4 linked regions of the Drosophila melanogaster genome follow. The protein of the gene in region 1 interacts with the protein of each later gene in a pairwise test. Each region holds a gene or a part of one and is shown on either strand. Other genes may lie near its edges. The genes, in order: dve, bi, sr and CG9705.

Region 1 (4,883 bases):
CAATCAGGTAGCACTAGCAGCCAAGCGGCTAAAGAGATCAGGAGAAACTGCGGGGGGAGAGGAGCACGCCTAAGCCGCCAGAAGAATTGAACGATGTGCTAGGGTGTAGTAGTAGTGGTGGTGGACCCAAGTCCAAGGAAGAAAAGAAAGCCAGAAGTCAGGAGGCGGCGGCCACAACAACAACAACAGGGCCACAAAGATGACAAACAGTTTGGACATTTATGAGCGGCATTTAATGGACATTTGACTACCGGAATTTAACGAAACCGAAAACGTGGGAAGGCAGACGGGGAAGCCGACAGAGGGGCAGACGGGCAGGGCCAGAAGAAAGGGCGAAGAATGCATTTGATTGGAGCTGCGATTCGATGCGCGGCCGGATTAACCCCGATTACCATTAGTCTTGGTGCGAGAGATCGCTGGGGAAAACGAGGCAGAGGTAATGAAACGACTATTCGATGATCACGAGCACGGTGAGCAGGAAGCAGCGGCGAAGAAGATTTCAATTAATAAATATTCCATTATCTGACTCCTAAGGCTGTCCCCGCCCATCCCCCATTCACAAACGACTAACACTTTCAGATTAGACAAAATCGAACCATTTATAATTTATAAGACGGCCTATCTGGCTGCTCAAAAGGCGGCCAGGTGATCTAACCGGGTGTGAAGAGACGGCATTATCTGTTGGCCGCGTTCGATTTCGATATTACGCCCTTAGAAAAACCCCGAAATGAAATTATCACAACAATAAAGCTAAATGCTTTATAATTAGTTTGGCCGGGCCAACAAAAAATTCGACTCACACTCGCACAATATGATTTGCCATAGTTTTGAAAGAATTCACATTTATTTATGCCCCTTCTGACCATTCTGGTTTATTATCTGACTCTCGAGCAACTTACGCCGTCTTATCTTAATCCCATTCACTAAGCATATGCGTCGACACATAAAACTGTCAAAAAATAAAAAAGAAAACGAATGGTTCTAAAGCCGAAGTTTCGAATGCTCTAGCCTAGATCGATTCTGATCTAATCGATATAAAATTTTTCAAAACTATTGCATCATCACATTCGTCGTAGCAAACTTAGAGGAAGTTACATTTATCGGAAACATGCAAAGATTTTGCAATTACCATTGCCACGTGGACGTACATAGAACAAAAAACAATCCCTGTGGACCTATTTAAATTGCTGGAAGCACTGCTAGGTTCTACAAATATGGTAATCTCAATCGATCTCTTAAAAAAATGTAAGTATTCCCAATGGCTAGGGTATACGAAATAACTCTAAGCTGTTTGTTTTCGAAGCCATCACAGATTTGGCCAGTACAATAACTCTTGTGGCATGATTTCGGCTTAAAGACAATGACGGTGGGTCCCTCGCGAGATTGGGATTTTTTAAATATACAACATAGAGATGTTTTCGAAACCGATTGGAAATAAAATTCATAAATTCTTGGATTAGTCACCCCCCGTTTTCGGCGTTTGGGTAACCGATTCCAATGGGTTGAGCGCCAAAGGCAGAAGTCATACCGCAGAGCCAGATAAATAATAATTACACTCACACAACATAATCAATTATGTCTGCTAATAAACCACACACACACATGCAGGCACACACCCAGATATCTGGACATGTGTATGAGTGATCCCCCACTTTTTCCAGAGAGGGAGTTGGGCTGGACTAATCACGCCAGCATGTTCATAATCAATTTTATCGCACTTATTTGGATTAATTGCGATATCAGTGACAGGGGCGTTCGATTCTGATAAAAATAAGAGCGGCGCGCACAGAGATGACGCGACATGCACTCTATGAGCTGGGGGCGCTAACGCTCCCCACCGCCAGTATCCCCACCCCGTTAGCCACATTCGATATCTAAGTTCGTCATCGCCTTATGCCGAATTTACCAGCGTTTGACAAAATTACCGTCGGGATTATCTTATCTGGCTGGCAAAAGCTCTGGCGGAGAACCCAGAACTCGGAACTTAGCCCCAGTTCCCAGTTTTCCCCTTTGGGGATCGGCTTTACAATGCAATTAGTGGGCACACCGAACGGGGAAAGGTAAACAGTTGGGTGCGGGGTGCTGGCGGACTTATCGCAGCACCGATCTCGAAAATCTCAGCCGATAAGGATTATCTTAATCTGCATAAATAGCGAAACGAGCGCATATCTACACGGCCCTTATCACTACAGCTTGGCCATATGTCGTTTGGCCGATTTTGTTTGCACTCAACTGATTCATTTGGCAATGGGAGGGCTGTAAAAGTGGGGGATAGCCAGGGTATCTGACTAATGGCTGTGTGAAGTGCCGCCGGCAAAGCGATCTCGCCGTGCGATGATGAAATTTCTCCGTATGACGAAATCTTCGTGATGCGGATGATATCTCTGCAAATTTGAAGGCTCAACTCACCTGCTGACCGGCATTGGCTGCCACCCAGGCTTCGGCAAAGGTTTCCATGGCGCTCTGGAAGTCCATCTCGCTGGCGATTCAAAGTTCTAATCACTGAGTCTGCAGTTCACGTATTTTATTTATGGCCAGATGCAGGCGCTTTGGCATTAATTGCAATTTGGATGGTTCGCTGTGATTTTTGTTTGATTGCAATTTGTCACCGCGATAAGGGGAGCTCGATTTCGAATTCGATCGGGGGAAGGTGTATTTCTTGATTCGATTTGATTTGATTTAATTTGATGTGATTTTTCTATTTATTTCTTATTTGAGTAGCGCGGATACGCAAATTAGACACAGGCACACACACGCGCGCAACCGCACACACGCTCAGGTGAAACGCGCGTTTCCTTCGTGGAACGGATTCGATGACTCTAGTTCCAGATGCTGCACTTCCAATTGCTCCAGGGGCTCTTCTTGCTGTTGTTGTTGCTGTTGGGGGCGACGCGACATCATTAGTGCCATGAAATCGGGAGCTGATCGCGTCACTGCGTCACCAGGATTGGCAGCGTATCGAATTTGGCGAATGCGACAATCGCAAATCCAGCCAACCGTTGAGGTTGAGGCGTTCAGGCTGTCTGGCTGTCCGCCTGTCTGGTTTCTCCGGCAGATGGCGTGCCGAATCCTTGGGCTCCTGCTCCTGACTGACTGATCTGGCTCTCTGGACTCTCTTCGCAGGGTATCGCAGGGTGTTAGTAAGCGGACGCGCGTCAAGACATCCTCTCTTGGCCAAAGTTGTCGCACAACTGACGGCATTCCTTCGCCTTCGCACATTCGCCGGTGTGCCGGTGCTCGGTGTTTGGCATTCGGTCTCTTTCGGCCGACGGTCTTCGGTCTCGTTCTCGCCCTCCCCCAGCCAGCACCCACCCCCCTTTCAACCGTGGTCCTCTCACGCGGCTCCATTTGCCGCCAGTCCATGTGTACTGGTGTGTGAGTCAAAGAGACAACGACCGCGCTCTCCCACTTGTATTTGTATTTGTGTGAGTGGGGAGAGAGAACGTAACAAAAAGTAGTAGGCTCTGAAAAGGTAGTAAAACTATGAGTTAGCTGAGCTCTTATGAATGGGGCTCTAATTAAAAGGATTAGATTAAAATCAATATATTTATTATATTAAATATAACGAAAGGAAAAATATAAATGCTGTAAATTTTATATTTGTTATAAGAGTAACCCACTTTGCTTAGAATAAGAACAAGTGGCGCTTTTCTTAGTAAATTAAAAATAAAAAATGTTAAAAAGACCACCAAATTTTAGAAAGCTAAATTTACTTTATATGTCACGTTATTTTCTTCAAAATGTAAATTTCTTTAGAACTGATAAGAATTTTTGCTTACCAACACTTTCCCACAGTATCATCTTGTTAAAATATTGAAATGATGCCAAAGCGTAGTAGAAATACTGCGAAATTTCGTTCTGGTTAGCGAGGCAAACAAACAGCTCTGCGTGTGTGCGTCAGTGAGTGACCAAAACAAAGCACACGCACAGGGACAGAGAGAGAAAAGAGAGTAGCTATGCAGAGAGCGACTTTCTCTCACACACACACAGGAACAGTGGGTAAACCTGTTCCGGCGCACAATTGCACTTGTCGTCGCCGCAGCCTTCGCCCAACCCGCCTAAAACCCCCTCCCCCGACAAACACTTGCTCATTCGGCTGCGCGTTTTCTTTTATTTTTTGTGCGCTGTGGCGAAACTGAATGGATTTGCTGCAAATTCGGGTGGAATTATGCCGCACACACACAGCCACATATCCCTACACCGTGTAGAGTGGGCGTGGGCGTGAACTACGACGGTGCGGGTGCGAGCAGTGCGGCAATAGGTTCGGGCATTCGGGATGAAAGAGTAAATCGGCATTGCTTATTCCTCTCGATGGGCGGTGGGTGGTCGGGGGGCTACACCCACTCGGCATTTAGCACCTCCGTGAATGGCGACGGCCTTCGTTGAGGATTCGTGAGTTCACGGCACGAAGTGGATTTCGCCGAGGGGCGGGATGGGTGGTGCCCCCGGAAAATAAGAGATAAGAGCGCAGATAATGCGCGCGCATTACATGTGATTAGGTGTCCGGGCTGCAGGATTTAGCCAACCGCGTCCAAGTATATGGTAAATAGGATTTCTATGTAGCAGCACTAGTAGGAGAAACACTGCGCCGAGAAAAAGATGGAAATAGGGTGGAGTTACAGTGGGCTTGGTAATTAGTACAGGATTTCATATCCGTTTTCAGAAAACTCAACCGAAAAAAGACTGCCTCTTTTTCTCTTATAGTTTCTAAAAAACAACTATAATTATTTATACAAATTAAATAACTGCTATATACCAAAACATAAAAATACATAAAAATCCTTGATCTGGATATGTTTATCCCACGATATCCTCAGTTTTCATCCAGTTCCTGAATGCGCAAGCTCTCCCTTTCTCCCTCTTGGCGCTTGCTCTCTCGCTCG
Region 2 (5,245 bases), on another chromosome or scaffold:
GATTCTCATCGGCCATGGCAGATGCATTCAGGAACTTCTTACATGTTATTTTTGATGTTCTGGGCATTCGGAAATGGTTTGGCAGAGAAACGAAATGTACCCTCGTTTTTTAATTGCTACACATTTATTTTATAATTATTTTAAATTTAAAATTTTTAAGATTAGTGATCTGGAATTATCAAAAATTCAATATTTGAAGCACAAATTATCCAAAGAAATAACTGACGTATTAATCATTTATTTGTTTTGAATTCAATATTTATCTGAGTTCCTACATTGCGAGCTGTAATTTCATAATCACAGCAATATCTTTTCAACATTTTTCTTTTTTTTTAAAGAAATTTTATTTTTCAAAGTTCTGTGCTTCTATTATTTCTCCAAATTTTAGCTCCCTTTTCCGAATTTGAGCCTAAAATTTCGCGCCAAAAAACCGAATAAAGCCATATAGGTGAAGTGGAAACTGAGAAATAAGGGACACGAGAAGGCACGGAGACGGAAAAGGACATTTTTGCCTGTGTGACAAAATCGCTGACTACGTGTGTGTGCGTGTTTTCCTTCTCGCCATGTAACGCTATCTCGCTTCTACACGCACACACATGAACACAAGCCCGAGACTCCGCCCACTAAGCGATCGCGATGAGATGAGAAAAAAACTCACCACAGTCCGGTAAAAAACGCTCAACTCACTCACTCAGTCATACACACACACACACACATTCACTCGCTCTCCCACTCTTTCTCACCGAGAATGCGCATTCCCTCTGGCACTTGCCTTCTCGTTCTTGCGCACATGAAACTGTGTAAAATGGTCGCCTTGCAGGGGGCGTTGCTTTATGGCCGTCTTTTTCGCACCCATGCGAAAGTGCCGCAGTGTGAGCGAGAGGGAATGCGTTTGTGGATGGAGGTTTTGAAAGCAAGAGTAGAGAAGATGCGACGTTGTAAACGAATTTGCATATTTCTACTGCTTTACGCTTATTGCATATTTTATTCATTACGTTCTGGCGCTTCGGCGGATGAAAACCCAAGAAAAGGCGAAAAGCGAAGGAAAGTGTCATATGGCATTCCGACTACCGTTAGCTCTGCGTGACATCGGTCCTCCCTTTCGCACGCACAATCTTCATCCTTCTTTTTGCTTCTTGTTGAGCTTCTTCCTTTTTTAAGCTTTATAATTTATAAATTCGTTAATATATAAAAAAAAAGTTGCTTAAAATTCTAAATTCTCAGTTCAAGATATAAAAAATTCAACAATTATTCCTACGAAAATCCTTTTAAATAATTTCTTATAAGCTGTTAGCTCAATCTGAATACAGTCCCAACTATCTCTGGTTTTGTATATTTTTTCTGTAACTTAGAATTAATATTTAGTGTTTTTTTTAAAGCTGAGCTTTTTGTTTTTACTTTCATTTGATTACCAAGTATTTCCAACCCAAATATATACATATATATATGGTATATATATTACTTAACTAATAGCTACAATCATATTTACGTCTTAAAAGGATTCTTAGCTGTTTTAATATCTTAAAGCTGTTTCCAGATTTCATATACTTAAGGTCATAACAATGCCAACATCCTAGTTTGTTTTTTATTTGGCTCCTTTTACCCGAAATTGGTTCCACGTATTTCTGCAAATTTGTTTATTTTCGCTTGGCAGCGACTTAATCTGTGCTCCAGTTTTTCGTAGTATCCCCCCCCAAAAAAAATGGACACCATACACACACACATTTAACGGTTAAGCCGTTGTCCTTTTTTCCCAAGAAGTCAAAGGATGCGATTCGAATGTGCGTGAGTTATCCGGCGTGTTGTTATCCTGGCTCGGACCAAATAGGATACAAAAAAAACCTAGCATAAACCGGTTCTGAGTAAGTGCTCAATTACTCACACACACACACACACACATGCAAAGAAGTGCTCACTCAAAACGAAGCGAAACGAGGCGAATTCGTGCCTCTGCCTCTGCCGACGTCGACTGTGCTGCCGTGGTGGGTTTTGTGAAGCAAAGCGTCGAGCAGAGTGGCGAATAGCGTCATTCAAAATTGGAATTCTGTTAGTAAACGTCGACACTTCATATGAAACGAAGAGCGGAGATCACAGCGGAAAATCCAGGGGTGTACGTGGGTTTAAAACGCACAGAGGGATTTCACTCAAAGAAAGAAAGAATACGTTTATACTTATATAGGGTTAGACCAGGAGGGTAGGCTACGTATAAAGACAAGAAGAAGGAAAGCAAAGAAAGAATGGCCTCGCCAAGTAAAGCTGAGAGCATAGAGTGTAGGGATTACACAGAAGGGCTTTAAAAAGAAAATATGTAACCCACAAAATAGCAACTACAAGACTACCCACGACTTGGGTGTCAAAATGCTTGTCATTCGACAGCACGGCGAGGGGGAAAACCTATGCTAAGCTGGCCTTAGCTTTTTTGCCCGCGTGTGGTGAACATAACACGGGCCAACCCACCTCCCCCCACGCGATGGGGATTCCCCACTTTCGCATTCTGCCGGCGTCGCTGCGAACGTCGCTGCCGGCTTCTTGCACTTTGGCGCTCGGCGTCGTCTTGGCCCGGTTATTTGTTGTTTTTTTTTTTTTTTTCGTTTTTCGGGCTTTTCGGCTTTTTGGATCGTTCTCGGCCAGCAGTCGCCGCCTGTCACACGCTCACGTCAAACGCTTTTGCCGTCGCGTCGTCAGATAAACCAAATGTCTCGCCGTGTTTACGTGTGATTCCCCTTTTTTGCTTCAATCCGAAGGCAAAATAAATACACTGACCTTAACCGATACGGCTCACCGTTTAACCGCTAACCGTTAACCGTTTCGTGGCCGTCGACGATAAGGAATCAAGAAACAACATCACCCTGCAGATTCTGTTTTGTTTTGTTTTTTTGTGCAGTCCAGAATTTTTTGAAAACCTGACAAGATTAAAGAAAATTGTGTTTGAAAAGTGCGTAAAGTGTGGAGTATTTAAACTTAAAAAAAAAAACATATATAAAAATCAAACAACAGCAAGGTGGGAGGTCCAAAGAATATAAATAAAAAACACACTGGTTTCCGCCTGAGATTTTCAAAATACCGTTTCAGATCATGAAAACATAATGGTATACAAATATATTATGTTTATGCTGCCCTTGGAAATAAATAGTATACTATCAAAAAAATCTACTCCTTGGTTTTTCCCTACTTGAGAAATGAGAAATTTACAAACATTAAATGTAGAACTACTGATAATTACTTTCAATATTTTGGTGATCCAATGAGTTAATAGGAAAGTCCTTAAACAAAGCGTGGTGGAACTCCTTCCCATTATGATAATCACATCGCATAACACCAGGGAGATTGTCTAGATTGATTGATCCAACCCCCAGGAGATTCCCCATCCCGATCTGCTCAAGCGCAACGAAATCGGAACCATTATCCAATTAGCTAACTCTTTCCGAACCCGTATCATCAGTTTATCGCCTCGTCAATTGTTTTCTCATACTTTTTTCGCTACTTAACTGATGTGACAATTTGTAGCCATTAGCCGGAGGCAGTCAGTCAAACAGTCGCTAGATTTGCAAGTTGTTCAGGCATGACAAAACAAAAAAGAAAAAAAAAAAAAAACTATATATATGCAATGTATGGCGATGGATAAGGGGGGGGGGGAGAGTTGGGGAGCGGGGTTCCGGAGACGAGATCACGATCGCATCTCGACACGCAGCTAAAAGTGTAAATCAGCTCGCCTTCCATTATGTCAACAATCTCTTTGTCTGTCCGTATTATTTACATTTGTCAAATCAAATTTGACAGCTGCGGAAAACATAATATCTCAAGTCGGCGTCTGCGGCACAGTCCGGTTTTTTGTATGGGGCCTTATTCAATAGGGAGGGGATCAAGGGGATTCGCGGAGGAGATCGTAGCCGCCTAGGACCACCGATACAAACTTGTATTCAGAACTGGATTTGTCGCTTCGCTCTGTTGTGCCAAACGAACTGAGCCATGAACACAAGAATGAATACTTGGCCAAGCACTCGATCAATCTGGTCTCACACAAAGTTCTTTCACTTGAAGATGTACAAAAATAATTAGACATTTTTCTATTTATCTATTGTTATACGGAAAAGGATTTAAAACGTGCAAACATTTTGACTACTTGTTCTAATTTCGAAATACTAAGCCTGAAAATCAAGGATATTTATAAATCTAATATTCCAAGCCACTGGCTATTATCATTCGCGTTTACAGAGCAATGTTTTGTAGGAAAGGATTTTCCCCAGCACCAAAATAATTTTCTCTTTCGAGTAGTTTATTGCACTGCTTATTAGCGATTAGTGACTTTTATGACTGTTTAGAAACGTAGTACTCAACCCTTTTCGAAAGTAGGTAACAACCCTTAACCATTTGTATTACATATTAGAGAATGTTTTCTTCTTGTTTCCGAGGGAACATGCATTTTCTTTTTGATCCTCATTTAGTAGGGATTACATTATTACACAGTTGGAAATATATATTGTCTTGATCGAATTACGGAATTAAGTGTTATATATACCTAAAATAGTTCCAAAATACCACAACACATAATACCTATATCTTTTGCTGACTTCACCAATTAATTGGTGAGGTTTCCAGTCGGGGTTGTTCGTTGGTAAGCTGCTAACGGACTTATGACATGGATATGGCTATGATTCGGGAATCACGATTCAGTATTCCGTATTCCGTATTCGGTGGGGTATGTACTGTGTACTCTGCTACTATAAAATGCCAGCTCCATTGTTGTTGCTACAACCGGCGGAAGAAAACGGAAGAGGGGATTGTATTTTTTGGATTTCGGGAATTGGGAATGGCCTGGATGCGGCACTTATCCTTGTTTTTTTTTTTTTTTTGGGGTTGAAGGCAACAAACACACTGCACACTTAACCGATAAATACGCACCACATCTATATTATATGTGTGTGTACATACTCGTATATGGATGCGTGTACGTTTGTACATCCGATGGACAGATCCTTTGTATCCTGCTATCCTGGCTCTATCTATTGACTGACTAACACGCCAGCTGACTTGGCAGGGGAGGAAGAAGCCAAGCGCTGGGGAAGTAGAACCTGGTCCTGCTGTCTCGTGCAAAGCTGACTGACATCCAGCAACTTCCTTTGGCCTCAGACTTCAGCAGCACTCACGCAATTTTCCTCCACACAAAAACCCCCACCTAGCTGATGATGGCTTGCCGGGGGTGGTTCTCATTCGGGCGATTTTCCAACGTGTTGTAATCCCATTT
Region 3 (5,253 bases), on another chromosome or scaffold:
GAATTGCAAACGTTTTCAATAATATAATTATCAAATTAAGGTGATGGAAAGTTGTTAGCTGGATTTTAATTACTAATATTTCATCATTTTCAAACAGAATGCAGTTCAAAACGTACGAGCACTTCACGTATTATTATTCATAGATTATTCATAGTTGTAGTTTGTCGGAATACAACGTGGTGTATCTTGTATCTTAGATTTTGTATCTTAATATTGGGTTTTTGGGCCATACTATTGTCTCTAGTGCCATTTCTCAAATTTATTTTCCTAACAAAGTATAAGCCTTATAAGGTGGCGAGCTAATTGTGCTGGCCTTTGTTATTACTATTGCATGTGTCACATTCTGAATGAGCAATTACAGTTAATAAGAGTACAAATGTCAAATGTCCGATGTGGGCGATTCGGCTAAGTATAATTAATTTGACTTGGGACTTGGGTTTCGCTCAGTGTAAGACACTTGAACTAATTGACAAGTTTCCATATATAAGCATTTTGTGAATGAATGAATTCGAGTTTTCAGTTGTGAAGGGGGGGGGGGGGGTAAAATATGAATATGATTAGAAGCCAAAGTGCGAGTGTGTGTGTGTGTGTGTCTGTGTAAGGTGAGCTTGGTGGGCGTTTTTAACTCGGCTCTCCGTCTCTTTCTAGCCGCGTTTCGCTGTCTCTTTTCGAGTTTTCATTCACAATCTAATGCCGGGCTTGATCCACACCCACATTATTTAAAGTGGAGCAGTGCACAGAGGGGCTCTGTCCTTGTCTCTTTCTCTTCCAGTAGCTCCATCTCTTTCCGCTTCCTTTCTCCACCTGCACCCTTTCTATCGCTCTGTCTCTTTCTGCGAGCACAGCTGCAGTATTTTGCAATTCAATTTGCAGTCAGCTGAAAGAGCGAGAGGTAAAAGTATGAATTTATCAATGAAACCACCCACGTGACCCCTTTGTATATACACATGTGTGTGTGTGTGTATGTGTGTTTGGCGTTTTTTTTGTGTGTGGGTGTGCGTTTCTGTGGGTGCTGTTGCCTCTAAAGCTTTTTTCTAAGGGGGCCCAAGCTTTTTTCAGCCAATTAGCTTTCGTTGGTGTTATTTTTAGCTGACTAGCTTTCCAGCAAAAGCTTTCAGGATTGATAGACGAATTTGGATTTCGATTCCAGGAAAACCCTTAAAGTTTACTGCATCCGTAAAAATCCTGGCTAAAATATGTATGTACATATGTATGTCTGTTTGCACAAGTGCATTGAATGACGCAGATTCTACAAGTATCCCTATGAAAGGGTTTTGCACACGTGGAGGGGGTTTTGATTCTACTAAGAGGGTTGCGATCAAGAGTGTTGGCTAAATGTGTGGGCTTTTAGACCGAGGAAAGCCCACACAACCACTCGTAGAACTTGGCACGTTCCGGTGCACTGAAAACAATTTAAGATGACTTAAATGAAGATTATTGATAAATAAATAATTCCTATTTACAAAACACTTCTTCTAATGTCAATGAAAATATTACATATATTGGTTTACTAACAGCTGAAGAGGATTTAGAAATACCAATTATTTAGTTTAACTAAGATGAAGGCACGCAGGACATTTTTGACACTCACACTTCTTTTCAGTGTAGGAAAACGGCTTAAGAGTAATCCAAAGGTGTTACAGCCTTATGCTAGGCGATAGAAGCTCAGCGAGAGAGAAAAGCACTTTGAGGCGTTGCGGGGGTTGTGTGTGTGGTTTGTGGTGTTTGTTGTTTGTTGTTCGTTGTTCGTTGCCCCACCGGCAATCCCCCGGTCATGAGTGCGACGAGGACGGCTAGCTTAGCCCGTCCGCATGTACAGTTGTGCCCACACACGGCAGCAAGAACAACAACAACAACACTCAGACGAGGCATCTCAACTGGGCGACAGATCTCTAAGTAAGGCGATGATCAGCCCACGACTGCCACACACTCACACACTGCCATCGCAAACGGATACAGATACAAAGCCACGTACAGGTACAGATACAGTGAAACCGAGGCAAAACAGTCAAGGCAGCGCTGCAAAGCGAAGCAAACCGTATTTTTTAATACCGCCGACAGTCGGACGACGGATTGAATCGCAAAAAAAAAACGCATCGCAACCGGAAGGAAATTATCGTCTAATAAGTTGAGCACAATAAATTCGAGAATAAAAAAAAGAGCAGGGGATCTTATAGCCCCGATTTACGCGCCCTGTGCATGAGATCGTTAAGCGAATTAAGCCGAAAGATAGCCCGTAGCCCAATATCTCGACTAGCCCATCAAATTGCGTGTTTCAAATCAAAATTGCATAATCTGCACCGAAGAAGCCGGGAACTAGTTGCCAACTCTTCGCTAGCCAACGAGATCGCGATTACAGCCGGTGGATATCTTTCGCGTAATCGCAGTAGCTACGTCGCTTCCTTTGACTTGGCCACGTTCTATACAGCTGCGCATCTTATCTTATGCTTGGCCATCTGAAGTTTCAGAGTCGCAGTTGGCAGTAGTTGTTGCAGTTGCAATCGCGGTTGCGGTTTATAGTGAGTCGCGCGTGCGTTCGCCTTTTTGGCCCGCCTCGTAATTAATTACAAACGCAGTCGCGCGATCCGCAATCCGCGCGACTGTTGGACTACAGATGAAAATCCCAACGATCCTGCCTATTTACGCGCCCAAATCTTGATGCCCTAGCCAGACCAGCTTTCTGGGCGCTTGCGTGCTCTGTTGTCGCCGACTTGCCTCCGAATCGACGACATCTGATTGCCTTTTTATAGCTGGTAAGTAGTAGTAGTAGTAGACCCTGCCTATATTGCCCAGCCATCCACCATCGACATCTGAACAAGTATATTAATGGTTACAGCGGGAAAGGGGTGATTGTCGGTTTGGTTATGGCCTCTAATGGCCTTTAATTGGGGCGAAAGCCAAATATAAGGCTTTATTACATATATATGATGGGGAAAATTGAAGCGGGGCCGAATTTATTACGGTCATGTTACATTAGTTTTAATTTATTAATAAATTGTACGAATATTGCCCGAAAACATATATTCGTAAATCCAAATTATTTTATTGGATGATTTCTTAAAATAATTCAATAAAGGTAATTAACATAAAATATTTTGTGATTTTCATAAATTCCTATTTCACAAAACCATAAAGGTTTTTAGCCATTAGCTAAACCAGATTTGTTTTCTATTTAATTATTAAATATAAAAATTCATTCAATATTTGTAGTCTCATTGAAAAACCTTACATTTTTAATGATGAATGAGATGGAAAAGATTACACATCTTCGAAATTTCTGTACAAACCGAATCGAATGAGATCATTTTGCATAAAATTATTTACACATTCCTTAATATTTAGGAGCTGTTTTTGCCAAATACCATTTGCAGATAGACTCCATTTGCATTTCGAAAGAAACCTGGTTTTTTTATGAAGCCGTCGAATGTTCGAGAAGTCAATTGAATTTCGTGGTTTACCTCCATTCAATATGAATGGAAATAATAACTAAAATTAAAACTAATAAAAATATACAAAGATAAGGCTTAATATAATGATTTATGAAACTTTTACAACATATTGGTTGTTTTAAGTATACTTTTGTTGGCCTCTTGTTTATCTTTTTTAATGGAAAACTCAAAGAACAGCCTTGCAACAACTTCTTTTTGGCTCAAACACAAGCTATTTGACTGAATGACGAATTGCTGGTTATGGCCTAAAATATGAAGGACGTTAGTATGCGTAGCCCACGCGATACATATGTATTTGCACTCCTGCAGAGCGACACGTGCGTAAAACAAATCAATTAGCGCTGCCACATGAAAAGGTTAAAAGTCACGTACACGTGTTCCGTGTGCGAATGTGCGAGGGGCACAGCGCGGGGAATGCTGCTCATATGTATAAGGTCAACCGGCAATTGGTAGCCGCAAATTTTCTGCAACAAGTTGAAATTGCCTGGCTAATTAAACACGCAGGTGTAACGAATCCAGCCAAAGCTTCCGGCCAAATAATGCGGTTTAAATGGAGTCAGGAGCAGCTGACATTTGAAGCGACTCCCCCACAAAGGGGCAGAGAAACGGAAGGCAGGACCTTCTCCTGTGAATACCGAAATATCAAAGTTCAACCGGATAACAGGGCGAGCTTCTTTGGGTTCAGCTGCTCTATTCGCTTAGCGGAAAATCAGGAAAATTTATGAATGAACTTCTAGTTGAGCGGACACATCAACGGGAGCTTTTTTCATTGATAAGCTCAATTCAGTTTTTCGCTTTCCATTCCATTCATATATTTATCCGAATGTGACCGGCAACCTTTGGTCTGCCATCGATTGGCGGGCGGTGGGTTGGCCAAAGAGCAACAGGAGCCTCCAGCCGCAGGACATCCCACACACGTGGCAGACGTTTCGGGAAAAGGGCAAGGCACCAGCATCCTGTATCCATTCTCCCGAGACTCTTCTCGAGTGGAAAATGCTAGTAGCTTCTGGCTTCCTTCTGCACAGTGGTTCAAATCAGTCTTCAAATGTGTACAAAAGCTTTGGGTACCTATCAGCTATTAACTATTTCAAATCGTGTAATATAGTGTATATAATATAATAAATAGGGTTTATAGTGTAATTGTTTTAACTTTTCAATTTAGTAAATATTTATGACCACACTGCGTATGATTAATATAAAGCAATTGATTAATTTCTCACATTATAATATTTTGAATAATAGAAAGTATTCACAACTTTGCCTTACACATTAACATTTAGAGATTTTCTTTTTTCCCGAATACATTTATTCTAACAGTATTCATGGGCAGTATTAGCCCACTGTGCCGTATCTGCCATTTAGCTGTGCCCCTGCCCTTAACTTCATCCTCATCTTCTAGTCAATAATATCTGACAGTGTGGGCGTTTAATCGCATCTATTAGCATCCCAGTCGAGCATTTTCTTACACGCCCACGCTGGAAATTATTTCCACTAGGAAAAGTGAAGTAGAAGTGGAGCACATTTGGCGAAATGAAGGCAGGCAATCAACAGGTCCAGCTTGGATAACCTTATTGTTCTCGTTTTCCCAGCCAACGAAAATGTCCCTTCGGTTTTTCCACCTTCCAGGAAGCGCTGTCCCCTCGTTATTATTATTATTAATATTATTATTTTTATTATTGCTCATTTGTTTCAGCGCTAGAGTAATGGAGCAGAACAGCACAGGATGGGACTTCCATTCCACTTGTGTAGCTGCCTTTTGATTGATGCTCGCAACCTCTAACCTTTAAATGTCATCGCAGGGACG
Region 4 (4,707 bases), on another chromosome or scaffold:
AAGTGTTCGCGCTCGTTGCGATCCAGGGCGCAAGACCACAGCATCTTGTCATGAGCGGTGAACATAGACGAGCAAAGCCGTGTTCTTATGTCGAATATCTTGATCTTTAGTTCCCGACTGGCCACAGTGAGCAAGTGCTGTGAGTCACTAAAAGCAATGTCCCGGATTAGGAGTGCCGAGGTGTGCAGGAATTGCAGGGGCTTGAAGGTAGGTGGATCAATAAAGCGTACGCCGTAGCCGGGGAACAGGTTTTGGGCACTCTTTTGCGAGGCCACCAGCATGGAGTGCTTGGCGGAATAGAGCAATACACGGCAGCCGGGATCTCGAGTTATCTCGAAGTTCTTCTCCATGTACAATCGGTAGGTGGCTAGTTGTTGAATGCTCTTCTGGCCGGATGCATCGCCTCCGAAGGCTCCCCGACCACCACCTGCCCTCACCAGCTCCTTAAGCCGTTCGTAGTCCTTCTGCAGGAGAATCAGCTTCTCAGTGGTGAGTGTGTTAGCCAGCTTCGCGGTAGCCAGCTCTGTTGTTAGAGTATGTGTACGCCGCCGCTCCGCCTCCAGCTGCTCCCTAATATCCGTGTCCAGCATCTGAATGCGCTTCGCATACAGATGACGGATATCTCTAAATGTGGCCTTCGTCTTGCACTGCGGGCACACCTTCACAGAAGATTGGCGATGGCTTTCGTTTAACCACCGCCGAATGCAGCTTTCCCCAAAGAGGTGACCACATCGCAGCGAGACCAGTCGATGCTCGCCACTCATCTCCCAGGAATCCAGACAAATGGGACAGGTCATGCCATCGTCCTCGTCATCTACAACTATTGGTTTGCCCTCGGGCGACTTTTTAAGGCTTTTATCGGCAGCAGCGGAGAGACGTTTACGTTTCTTGGGCGGTGATGGCGTTTCTAATGAGATCACCTCCTGCTCTTCGCCTTGATTGCGGCGGGAATTTCTCGGGGGACTGGGCAAATGCGGAGGATCTACCAGAATTAAAGGCGGAACTCTCGGTTGCTCGGGTTCCGCGTTCTCACCAGGCTGGTCACGTTGTTCATCAATCTCAACCGCCGGCTGCAGACCTTCAACTGGATTGAGGATTACCTCATCATCACCAGAGCTATCATCTGTAGAGGTCTCATCGGCATAAACTTCCGGATCAAGAGCTTCGGTTTCATTCTCCATTCCTTGCAGCAGGATGTCTGAATTCCGCTTTCTCGCTTCAGACTGATCGCATTCCCTGCTGCCCGATGAGTATATTTCCGGATCCACGGCGCTGTCGCCTTTTGCGAAACCTTCGCTGTCCGTTTCACCTATATATGGTCTCAATCAAGTTTTCCTCTTGGAAAACATGAAAGTTCTTGTTATTATTTTATCTATTTCGCGACTTTCCTGCAATAGGACGCTAAATTTCAAGCTAGGGATGGTCAAGATCGAGATGCTTTAGTGATGGAACAACGGGGTGAAACTATCGAGTACTACATGTAAATAAATATATTTAAATATTCATTGTTAGTGTGGACAACATATTAGTCTGAACACATTTTTTTCGTATATCAAGCATATAAAAAAAGAATCTATATAAGAGTTGAGTGTTTGTGCGGAAAATGCAATTTTTTAATTGTTTAAAATAATTATAAATGCTTTCAATTAAATTTTCACATCTATTTATTCTACCAACAAGTTGGAGTAACTTGTAATTAATCCTGTTTGTTCGTTAAATTTGATTTTCAAATTTTATTCATGTTGCTATAAACATCGATTGCCAATTAGGCTAAGCGATAGGTTTTGGGATTTCTGGAACATTCCAAAACGTTCACTCTGAGGTCTGACTTTGACGCCTCCGCCGCCATTCGTTAAAAAACTGAAATTCTTAAAAAGCGCGCATCAAGCCGGTGTAATAATTGATAAAAAAGTTTAAAAAAATCCCAGATTCCAAAGTTGATAAAAGTCATACCGCGCAGGACTGATTTAGGGGGTACAAATAACATTGGCAACCGGCGTTTCGCACAGCGGTAAAATTTGCATCAGTGTGTGGGTGTTTCGCAAAAAAAAAAGAAGCTAAGCCAGGATTTTTGGATTGCCAATTATCAAGGTGCTAGGAAAGAGGGCGTGAAGTTGTCGGTAAGCTGACCGAGTACACGTGAATTAAGTGCAACGCAATTTGCTGACTGACTAACCCGCCCCCCGTGGCCTTGAACTCGACAGACTTGGCTGCCGTCCACTCACCCACAAACACACATACGCACATATATACACACGCGCAAGCCGCTTCTACTGTCTGAAGAGAGGAGAGGAAAAGAGCGAAGAAAGGGGAAGAACGCATAAATCGGCAAGTAAACGAGCAGTGTAAGAAAGCCATGACCGAACCAAGGACGCCCGAGAAGCTGCTGGCCGCCAAGCCGCCGGTTTTACACCACAACAGCCATAGTCCCAATGCCTCGCTGCAGCTGCCCAGTCCCATCATCACGAGGCGCACTCGCACGGCCTCGACGTAAGTCCTCCTGCACTGCCCTGCCCACCCAACCAGCAAAACCACCCACCCACTACTGGCCCCACACACACTTGACCCCAAGGGGAACTTGGCCCCTATGCAGAGCCTTTATGGGGCCAAATAGGCGCCGAAAGTTCACATTATTTCACAAGGTTCGCTCTTTTGTATGAAAACCAAATACAACCTTTTGAAATAGTAAAAGAATAGCATGGAAGCTTGTAATTTCTAAAGCAAAAGCTTTCTATAATGTTTTAAACTGCATTTGTTGAATTAGATGAGCAAACATAATGAAACAAACAGTAATTAGTAATCGAACATGGAACACTTTATTGGTTCCACATTTACATTTAATATATTTATTTTTATGTGTATATACTTATAAATATTTTTATAACCGTAAGGACCATTTTTTTTGAAAGTTTAAATTTGTAAACCCCATACTTTTTCAATTATTTCATTGTACATACATACATACATTCAGAAATCAGTCGCTGCCGAATTTATAAGCTCTCGGAACCCTTTCGAACATAATCCACGTACTTAAATTCTTCCCCCTCATATCCCCATGCGCATCCTCCATTGATTAACTTGTCTCTTCCTGCTTAATTCTTTTCCCAAACGCTGCCAAAACGCAAACACGCGCAAACTCAAAATAACGCTGAAAAAACATAGCTCCGCTCGGGCCTTGGAAAATCCGGTTGTGACCGGTATGGTGAAATCCTTCAGCCGCACCAAAGGACACGGCTTCATTACACCCAACGCCGGCGGAGAGGACGTTTTTTGCCACGTTTCCGAGTAAGTGAATGAATATTGCATGCGCGGCGACCTTTGCGCTGGCTCTGTAAGACCTACAAAAATGTAATCTTCCCACAGCATCGAAGGTGAATATGTGCCCATGCCCGGGGACGAGGTCAAATACCGTCTGTGCGCCATTCCGCCCAAGTATGAGAAGCACCAGGCCGTGCACGTGCAGATTAGCCACCTGACGCCGGAGGTGCACCACAAGTGGGAGGAGCCATTCTATGGTGGCTCCTCGCCCGCTAAGTAAAGCTGAAGCTTGTGGCCCTGGGAGATTTCGAAGCTCGGAAGCGGAAAAGTGTGTTGTTAAAAGCTGAACGGCCTTCCAAGAAATTTAATTGAGCTAGAGCACGCCACCCGAGATGAACGAAACGGAAAACCGGAACAGAACAATAACCATGAAAGTAAACGAAAGCACAGCAATCGAAGCAGCCAGGAAAAAGCCGAAACCAGACCAGAACGTAATAGAATGGAACAACAGGCCTGCCATCCAGCCAGCCAGCGAGCAGCATCACAAGAGTTTCAATTGAACACTTAATTAGAATTTAAGCTAAGCTATGGAAGTCAAACAAAACGCAGTCACAAATATTGCCTTTCCCTCTGGAAGAGGGGAGAGCAACCGCAACCAGTTTCGAGTATATTATTAAAAGCGCGTATGTATTTGGAAATTGAAATTGTTATTCGAGAAGCCACTAGCACAGCGCCTGCGATGCTGTGGTGCCCTGTATCAGTAATTACTTTTAATTATAACAAAACATCTGAATGTGTTCGCGAAGCAAACAAGCAAAATGCTCTCAGTAATTCACTTTATTATTAAAACAGCTGCAAAACAATTCCATCGGTGATTTTTCTGGAGTGGCGTGGGAGTTATCAGCATGGAGTGTGTATTGTACGCACAATTGCGGTCAGCATAATAGCCGCTTGCTTGTATGTGTTCTAATAAAATTTTATGCAAAATTATTAATCTTACGTTTTTATTACGGCATCTAAATGTTCATTTTAGATATTAGCTAATGTCTGATTGTAATATCACGATATTCATAACATGGCAAAATATTGTTTTAGCCGCAGCTGTAACTTGTATTTAATTTAGTGGTGTATCTTATCTGCAGTGAAAGCAGATACTTTTTGCAGCCCAAAGCATACATGAATTTTTGGCTCACTATTGAAAATATATTTCCTGCGTTCTGCAGAAAATCGAAACCGTAACATATTCAATAAAAAAAAACCAACCTTTTTGCCACAATAGATACCTAAAGATTTCCGCCCGCTAAATTTATCAAGTAGAGCCATAAATAGCCAAACCAACTCATACTCCTAAAATTATGGATTTCCATTTCGTAAGTCTCCCGCCACTCAGTTTGAATTTCGAATGATTAGTGTGACCATGCGGCGGTTTATAGCAACTGCATGCGTAGT

Evidence for each region.
Region 2: the proteins of dve (region 1) and bi interact in a two-hybrid assay, tested with the Drosophila melanogaster proteins (one large-scale study listed by BioGRID).
Region 3: the proteins of dve (region 1) and sr interact in a two-hybrid assay, tested with the Drosophila melanogaster proteins (one large-scale study listed by BioGRID).
Region 4: the proteins of dve (region 1) and CG9705 interact in a two-hybrid assay, tested with the Drosophila melanogaster proteins (one large-scale study listed by BioGRID).

What each region holds. Positions count from the first base shown.
Region 1 is NT_033778.4:22,242,274-22,247,156, reverse strand, and holds the start of dve (defective proventriculus), read right to left. Parts: upstream 3,195-4,883; 5' UTR 2,476-3,194; coding exon 2,410-2,475; intron 1-2,409.
Region 2 is NC_004354.4:4,410,811-4,416,055, forward strand, and holds the start of bi (bifid), read left to right. Parts: upstream 1-2,045; 5' UTR 2,046-2,110; intron 2,111-2,651; exon of another isoform or gene 2,652-3,089; intron 3,090-5,245. UniProt on the Drosophila melanogaster protein: Essential protein that may function as a transcription regulator. Vital for pupal development. Required for proper development of the optic lobes and wings, and abdominal pigmentation.
Region 3 is NT_033777.3:18,088,702-18,093,954, forward strand, and holds the start of sr (stripe), read left to right. Parts: upstream 1-2,101; 5' UTR 2,102-2,753; intron 2,754-5,253.
Region 4 is NT_037436.4:16,778,301-16,783,007, forward strand, and holds CG9705 (uncharacterized protein), read left to right. Parts: upstream 1-1,799; 5' UTR 1,800-2,120; exon of another isoform or gene 2,121-2,204; 5' UTR 2,205-2,356; coding exon 2,357-2,490; intron 2,491-3,162; coding exon 3,163-3,285; intron 3,286-3,363; coding exon 3,364-3,538; 3' UTR 3,539-4,119; downstream 4,120-4,707. Other genes in the region: mus302 (mutagen-sensitive 302), read right to left, coding at 1-1,181.